Xenopus tropicalis: one gene and its partner. The protein of the gene in region 1 interacts with the protein of each later gene in a pairwise test. Links are inferred from orthologs where the notes say so. Each region holds a gene or a part of one and is shown in the gene's direction. Other genes may lie near its edges.

Region 1 (4,184 bases):
AGCATGCCCTGCTGTGTGTATATATTATCCCAGCTCCCAGCATGCCCTGCTGTGTGTATATATTATCCCAGCTCCCAGCATGCCCTGCTGTGTGTATGTATTATCCCCGGCTCCCAGCATGCCCTGCTGTGTGTATATATTATCCCGGCTCCCAGCATGCCCTGCTGTGTGTATATATTATCCCCCGGCTCCCAGCATGCCCTGCTGTGTGTATATATTATCCCGGCTCCCAGCATGCCCTGCTGTGTGTATGGCAGTGTGTGTGGGGGGGCGAGGTTGCCAAGCAAGCGGATCTTCTCCCAATATGCCCACATTTAGGGCTAAACTACTGAATTACAACGGTGGGCACAGGCATAGAGATTGGGGGCCGCACCCACAAGCTGATGCCGTCCCTGATCCAATGGAAAATCAAACCCGTGAGATCGAGATCTAACCAATCATAGGCCAGATATTGGTCGGGGTGCCCATCGGGGTGTGCGGCTTTAGGCTGGGCAGGAGGTGTAAGAGCTGCTGGTGCGGCTGAATGAGCAGATCTTTGCCCAATTTGCCCAATGATGCACTGATGGGATTGTATTGGGTCCTAGGGAGACCCACTGAGACTCATGTGGCCCCAGTTGATCTTATTATCAGCCACATACATAGTTACATAGTTACATAGTTACATAGTTACATAGTTACATAGGGTTGAAAAAAGACCTGTGTCCATCAAGTTCAACCCATCCAAGTAAACCCAGCACACCTAACCCACACCTACCAATCTATACTCACATACATAAACTATAAATACAACCACTAATACTAACTGTAGATATTAGTATCACAATAGCCTTGGATATTCTGATTGATCAAGAACTCATCCAGGCCCCTCTTAAAGGCATTAACAGAATCTTAAAGGCATTAACAGAATCTTAAAGGCATTAACAGAATCAATACTGGTCACACAGGCCACCCGGAGGGCCCCACACATTGCCAACTGGGTACCGAGGGGCAAGTTATCAGCCCCAGTATGGCCGCTATCAGAAGGGTTCGGGGGGTTAATAGATTTCTGACCAATACAGACCCCCCATTCCTAGTACCCAGGGCCCAACAGCCCCATGGGCACAAACTCACCCAGCAACTCCCTGCAGCCTACATGTCTAGTTATACTCCCAGCACCTTGTGGCAGTTCCAAGCTGGGAGAGAGATTAGTTCAACTACATTCCTGCCCCTGGGAGAATAAATGACTATTTACTCACATCCCTTTGGGTTGGTATAAAAGTCAAGTTTTCAACAATAAATTCTAGAGTTCCAGCCCCCTGCAATCCCGGCAGTGGCCGCTAGGGGCAGACTGGCCGCGCCGTGTATTTCCTGATTCAAGCTCGTTCCCGTAAAGTGAAAGTCCCGGGAGTGGCCGCTAGGGGCAGCCTGGCCGCGCCGTGTATTTCCTGATTCAAGCTGGTTCCCGTAAAGTGAAAGTCCCGGGAGTGGCCGCTAGGGGCAGCCTGGCCGCGCCGTGTATTTCCTGATTCAAGCTCGTTCCCGTAAAGTGAAAGTCCCGGGAGTGGCCGCTAGGGGCAGCCTGGCCGCGCCGTGTATTTCCTGATTCAAGCTGGTTCCCGTAAAGTGAAAGTCCCGGGAGTGGCCGCTAGGGGCAGCCTGGCCGCGCCGTGTATTTCCTGATTCAAGCTGGTTCCCGTAAAGTGAAAGTCCCGGGAGTGGCCGCTAGGGGCAGCCTGGCCGCGCCGTGTATTTCCTGATTCAAGCTCACTCCCGTAAAGTGAAAGTCGGGCAGCAATCGGGATATTACACCGGACTCCCCCGGTACCGCACCCCGTTGGTAGGGGGGTTTATTCGTGCATTGCGGATGGCAGTGTGGCCCTGAGAGGGGGGTGGGACTGCTGGAAGCCCCCGCCTGACTGAAGCCCTTCTGGCTGTGGGTGAGTACAATGCCGGCGGGGTAACGTGTCCGTCCGCAGGGGAAGTTCTAGGGAGCCGCCGGGCCGCTTTGCGGTTAGGGGAGCGGGGAGGGAATCGGACGCGGAATCGGACGCGGGCTCTTTAAATTTCAGGCGGCTGCACGCTCGCTAACAAAGGCGCCTCCCGGGGCCCAGCTTAACCCTGTGTGTGCCGGGGGCTGTAACCCTGTGTGTGCCGGGGGCTGTAACCCTGTGTGTGCCGGGGGCTGTAACCCTGTGTGTGCCGGGGGCTGTAACCCTGTGTGTGCCGGGGGCTGTGTGTAACTGTATCGGTGCTGTACATCCCGGGGTTTGTATCACTCCGGAACCGGGATCCGTTACACTGTGTCCCCCTCACACCATGTGACCCCCAGCTTCTGTTATAGCCCCATTGCCCTCATATGTACCTACCTCCCACCGTACCTACCGTCTTATATATCTGTATATACATATTACCCTATATATCTGTATCCACTATACATACCTACACGCTACCCTATATATCTGTATCCACTATACATACCTACACGCTACCCTATATACCTGTATCCACTATACATACCTACACGCTACCCTATATATCTGTATCCACTATACATACCTACATGCTACCCTATATATCTGTATGCCACTATACATACCTACACGCTACCCTATATATCTGTATCCACTATACATACCTACACGCTACCCTATATATCTGTATCCACTATACATACCTACACGCTACCCTATATATCTGTATCCACTATACATACCTACACGCTACCCTATATATCTGTATCCACTATACATACCTACATGCTACCCTATATATCTGTATCCACTATACATACCTACACGCTACCCTATATATCTGTATCCACTATACATACCTACATGCTACCCTATATATCTGTATGCCACTATACATACCTACACGCTACCCTATATATCTGTATCCACTATACATACCTACACGCTACCCTATATATCTGTATCCACTATACATACCTACACGCTACCCTATATATCTGTATCCACTATACATACCTACACGCTACCCTATATATCTGTATCCACTATACATACCTACATGCTACCCTATATATCTGTATCCACTATACATACCTACACGCTACCCTATATATCTGTATCCACTATACATACCTACATGCTACCCCTATATATCTGTATCCACTATACATACCTACACGCTACCCTATATATCTGTATCCACTATACATACCTACACGCTACCCTATATATCTGTATCCACTATACATACCTACATGCTACCCTATATATCTGTATCCACTATACATACCTACACGCTACCCTATATATCTGTATCCACTATACATACCTACACGCTACCCTATATATCTGTATCCACTATACATACCTACATGCTACCCTATATATCTGTATCCACTATACATACCTACACGCTACCCTATATATCTGTATCCACTATACATACCTACATGCTACCCTATATATCTGTATCCACTATACATACCTACATGCTACCCTATACAGGTCCTTTTCAAAAAATTAGCATATTGTGATAAAGTTCATTATTTTCTGTAATGTACTGATAAACATTAGACTTTCATATATTTTAGATTCATTACACACAACTGAAGTAGTTCAAGCCTTTTCTTGTTTTAATATTGATGATTGTGGCATACAGCTCATGAAAACCCAAAATTCCTATCTAAAAAAATTAGCATATTTCATCCGACCAATAAAAAAAAGTGTTTTTAATACAAAAAAAGTCAACCTTCAAATAATTATGTTCAGTTATGCACTCAATACTTGGTCGGGAATCCTTTTGCAGAAATGACTGCTTCAATGTGGCGTGGCATGGAGGCAATCAGCCTGTGGCACTGCTCAGGTGTTATGGAGGCCCAGGATGCTTCAATAGCGGCCTTAAGCTCATCCAGAGTGTTGGCTCTTGTGTCTCTCAACTTTCTCTTCACAATATCCCACAGATTCTCTATGGGGTTCAGGTCAGGAGAGTTGGCAGGCCAATTGAGCACAGTAATACCATGGTCAGTAAACCATTTACCAGTGGTTTTGGCACTGTGAGCAGGTGCCAGGTTGTGCTGAAAAATGAAATCTTCATCTCCATAAAGCTTTTCAGCAGATGGAAGCATGAAGTGCTCCAAAATCTCCTGATAGCTAGCTGCATTGACCCTGCCCTTGATAAAACACAGTGGACCAACACCAGCAGCTGACATGGCACCCCAGACCATCACTGACTGT
Region 2 (4,102 bases), on another chromosome or scaffold:
TTGCTGTGGTTTCTCCCTTTTGCTTGTGACATTTGTATTGTCATCCCTTTGTTGTTTACAGATCTCCACCTTACAAGCAAACTCCAAATGAAAGAAAATAAATGCCCTTATAACCATGTCCCAATATGCACTGCTTGTACCCTAGGCAATTTTGGGTGGGTTTTAGGCCTTTTCATTTTTGGGGGGGTAACTATGAGGAGCAGAAGGCTGTCAGTGTTATTAACAGTAAATAGGGAAGAAAGACAGTAAATCCCAGTGTTGGAATGAGGTGTGTGGGGTCCACCACCTCAACAGACGGTTTTTCTCCTATCGTTCCGCTCGTCCAGTCCCACCCTGGGAAATGGCTGTATTTTATGTCCCTAAAAGGGCAGCCACCTTCCATGATTTTTATGTTTTGTCTGGAAACTTTGGATATGGTTTGGATATGATTTTTATGTTTTGTCTGGTAACTTTGGATATGGTTTGGATATGATTTTTATGTTTTGTCTGGTAACTTTGGATATGGTTTGGATATGATTTTTATGTTTTGTCTGGTAACTTTGGATATGGTTTGGATATGATTTTTATGTTTTGTCTGGTAGCTTTGGATATGGTTAGCTTCTCTATGTTTTTGGTATGTATAACTTTATTTATAAAGCGCCACAAGGATACGCAGCACTGTACAATCTTACAATATACACAATTACCCACAGGTAGGGCAAGTGTTATAATAAATTTCAATAAATAAGTATAAATACACAGGGAGTAAGTGCCATGGGGTATGAGACACAGTAGGAAGGAGGTCCCTGCCCCGTAGAGCTTACAATCTAAGTGGTTGGGTAACATACAGGCACAAACTGGAAGGTAAGAGGCACCAGGTATGGGCATTTGCCCTTAAGTGCAGGACTGATCAAAATAAAGTTTTAGTGAAAAGGTAACTGGTATGGCAACTGGTATGGCTTCCTCCTTTGGCTTAATTATAGGGGGGGCTGTTTCTGGAAGCTTCTATCATGGCTCCTGCCCCCTCTATGAGACTAGGCCAATGAAGTCACTGGAAGGGATTTAGCCAATCCCGGGTACAATGCGGCCCAACCTCACCCTGACTCTCCTCAGAGTCAGACCCCTCCCCCCATGCGCGCCCCCGCCGCCACGTGCTCCCCAAGGCGGGCTTTTCCCTACAGTGGAAATAGCGGCGGGGGCGCGCACGCAGAGAGTGCGCCAAATCTTCCTTTCCGTACGTGCGCGCTCTCGTTCCACGTCCCGCGCCAGTTCAGGCTCTTTGTGAGGAGGAGGCAGCAGCGAGAGTACCGGGCACCGGGAGCGAACTGACAATGGCGGACGATAAGCCCAAGGTCCTGCTCCGGGCTGGGAGAGGGAAGGGTCGCATAGCGGGCTTGGGGCCGGGGGCAGTGGGTGCGGGGCAGGAGGAGGGAGAGGCCTAGGCGCTAAAGGGAGGGGGCAGCGGCCTGCGGGCTGTGCGGGGGCTCTGTGGGTACGGGAGGGGCCCGTAGGGAGACAGCCGGGAGAGGGACGCCCATACTAGCGGGGCTTGGTTATGGGAGGCTGCACTGCATTGGCCCACTAGGTTTATGGGGAAGGGAGCACAGGAACCAGGGAGCACTGGGGAAGGGAGCACTGGGGAAGGGAGCACTGGGGAAGGGAGCACTGGGGAAGGGAGCACAGGGGAAGGGAGCACTGGGGAAGGGAGCACAGGGGAAGGGAGCACTGGGGAAGGGAGCACAGGAACCAGGGAGCACTGGGGAAGGGAGCACTGGGGAAGGGAGCACAGGGGAAGGGAGCACAGGGGAAGGGAGCACAGGGGAAGGGAGCACAGGGGAAGGGAGCACAGGGGAAGGGAGCACAGGGGAAGGGAGCACAGGGGAAGGGAGCACAGGGGAAGGGAGCACTGGGGAAGGGAGCACTGGGGAAGGGAGCACTGGGGAAGGGAGCACTGGGGAAGGGAGCACTGGGGAAGGGAGCACTGGGGAAGGGAGCACTGGGGAAGGGAGCACTGGGGAAGGGAGCACTGGGGAAGGGAGCACTGGGGAAGGGAGCACAGGAACCAGGGAGCACAGGAACCAGGGAGCACTGGGGAAGGGAGCACAGGAGCCAGGGAGCACTGGGGAAGGGAGGACAGGAACCAGGGAGCACTGGGGAAGGGTATGTTGGGCACTGCCAGTATTGGGAGATGGGAAGTAAATGGGAATGGGCGACCTTGGCTATACTGGGAATAGGGATATTAGGGGGGCCTGAGCCCAGGTATGTTGTGGGGGAATATACTGGGGCTGGGAATTGGGAGGTTAGGGGGCCCTGAGCCCAGGTATGTTGGGGGGGGAATATACTGGGCCTGGGAATTGGCAGTTTAGGGGGCTCTGAGCCTAGGTATGTTGGGGACATATACTGGGGCTGGGAATAGGGAGGTTAGGGGGCCCTGAGCCCAGGTATGTTGGGGGGGAATATACTGGGGCTGGGAATTGGCAGCTTAGAGGGCCCTGAGCCCAGGTATGTTGGGGGCATATACTGGGAATTGGGAGCTTAGGGGGCCCTGAGCCCAGGTATGTTGGGGGCATATACTGGGGCTGTGAATTGGGAGCTTAGGGGGCCCTGAGCCCAGGTATGTTGGGGGCATATACTGGGAATTGGGAGCTTAGGGGGCCCTGAGCCCAGGTATGTTGGGGGCATATACTGGGAATTGGGAGCTTAGGGGGCCCTGAGCCCAGGTATGTTGGGGGCATATACTGGGAATTGGGAGCTTAGGGGGCCCTGAGCCCAGGTATGTTGGGGGCATATACTGGGGCTGTGAATTGGGAGCTTAGGGGGCCCTGAGCCCAGGTATGTTGGGGGCATATACTGGGGCTGTGAATTGGGAGCTTAGGGGGCCCTGAGCCCAGGTATGTTGGGGGCATATACTGGGGCTGGGAATTGGGAGCTTAGGGGGCCCTGAGCCCAGGTATGTTGGGGGCATATACTGGGGCTGGGAATTGGGAGCTTAGGGGGCCCTGAGCCCAGGTATGTTGGGGGCATTGACTTTAGGGAATGAGGTAACTTGGGGAGAGAGGAATTCAAGAATGTTGAGTGGGAAAAGATGTAGCCTCTGGCCAGTGAGAAGGGCAAGTATTATGGGAGAGCTTAATGGTGGGAAAATGGGTATGCAGGGCTCAGTGCCATTAAATAGAGTTAATACTGGCCAGAAGCCTAGGTTATGTTGGGGGCATTCCATGCAGAGTAAGGGGCATAAGGGTGAAGACACACTGAGCTACTAGCAGCAACTAATTTTTTACAGCTACAAAACACCAGAAAATCCCCTGCCTTAGACAGTATGGAGCGTTGCGAAAACAGAGAATTATCAGTAACTGATTGGCATTGAATATTTTAGTAGCTGTGACAAGTAGCTGCTACTACTGTGTGTCTTCGACCTAAGGAAGGAGAATTCTTAGTATGGAAGGAATTTTAGAATTGAGGAAGTAGTGTAGGTAATGGAGGAACACGTGTTAGAAGCAGGAAGGGTAAGGTGCATTAGGCACAGTGGAAAGAAAGTTCTGAGAACTTTTAAACTTGTATTAAGTCTTTAGATTCAGGGTCTGTGACACTGTGAAGCAGTACCATGTTATTCTGCATACTGGCCCTCAATGTGATATTGCTCTCTTAATCACTGGGACCTGTTAATTGGGGACCTAGAGACACAGGCAAGCGTACTGTAAGGCTAATATATACGATGAGGTTAGGGGCTAGACCAGCTTTTGTGAGTGTAGTTGTAAGTTAAATGCCTGTGCAGTCAGTAAACATTCCAGAACTGTAGCTCCCAGCAGTGACTGTTGTTCTAAAGGGAACATTTGGTGTATTTTGTGTAATGACATGCAGCCTTATAACTTCTGTGCTCCCCATCTTTCTTCTTGTGCGTTGTGAACACATTACCAAATGTAGCATGGTCCCCGGCCAGATCTAATATAACTAGAGTTCTTTTGTCATTTGGTGCCAAAGTATTCTCTAGAATGGGGTGCAAAGAGCTCATTTCTCACAACGGGATGAATAACCACAAGCGTTACCAGTGTTTCTGTGCCATGATGCCCCTTCCCAGCACTCATTCCACTTTTTACTTCTTTTAGGAAGGTGTTAAGACCGA

Evidence for each region.
Region 2: the proteins of pias3 (region 1) and sumo2 interact in a two-hybrid assay, tested with the Homo sapiens proteins (2 studies listed by BioGRID). The link is inferred for Xenopus tropicalis from reciprocal best matches to the Homo sapiens genes PIAS3 and SUMO2.

What each region holds. Positions count from the first base shown.
Region 1 is NC_030684.2:141,818,965-141,823,148, reverse strand, and holds the start of pias3 (E3 SUMO-protein ligase PIAS3), read left to right. Parts: upstream 1-1,356; 5' UTR 1,357-1,916; intron 1,917-4,184. UniProt on the Homo sapiens protein: Functions as an E3-type small ubiquitin-like modifier (SUMO) ligase, stabilizing the interaction between UBE2I and the substrate, and as a SUMO-tethering factor.
Region 2 is NC_030686.2:44,411,101-44,415,202, forward strand, and holds the start of sumo2 (small ubiquitin-related modifier 2 precursor), read left to right. Parts: upstream 1-1,300; 5' UTR 1,301-1,310; coding exon 1,311-1,331; intron 1,332-2,041; exon of another isoform or gene 2,042-2,278; intron 2,279-2,625; exon of another isoform or gene 2,626-3,483; intron 3,484-4,085; coding exon 4,086-4,102. UniProt on the Homo sapiens protein: Ubiquitin-like protein that can be covalently attached to proteins as a monomer or as a lysine-linked polymer.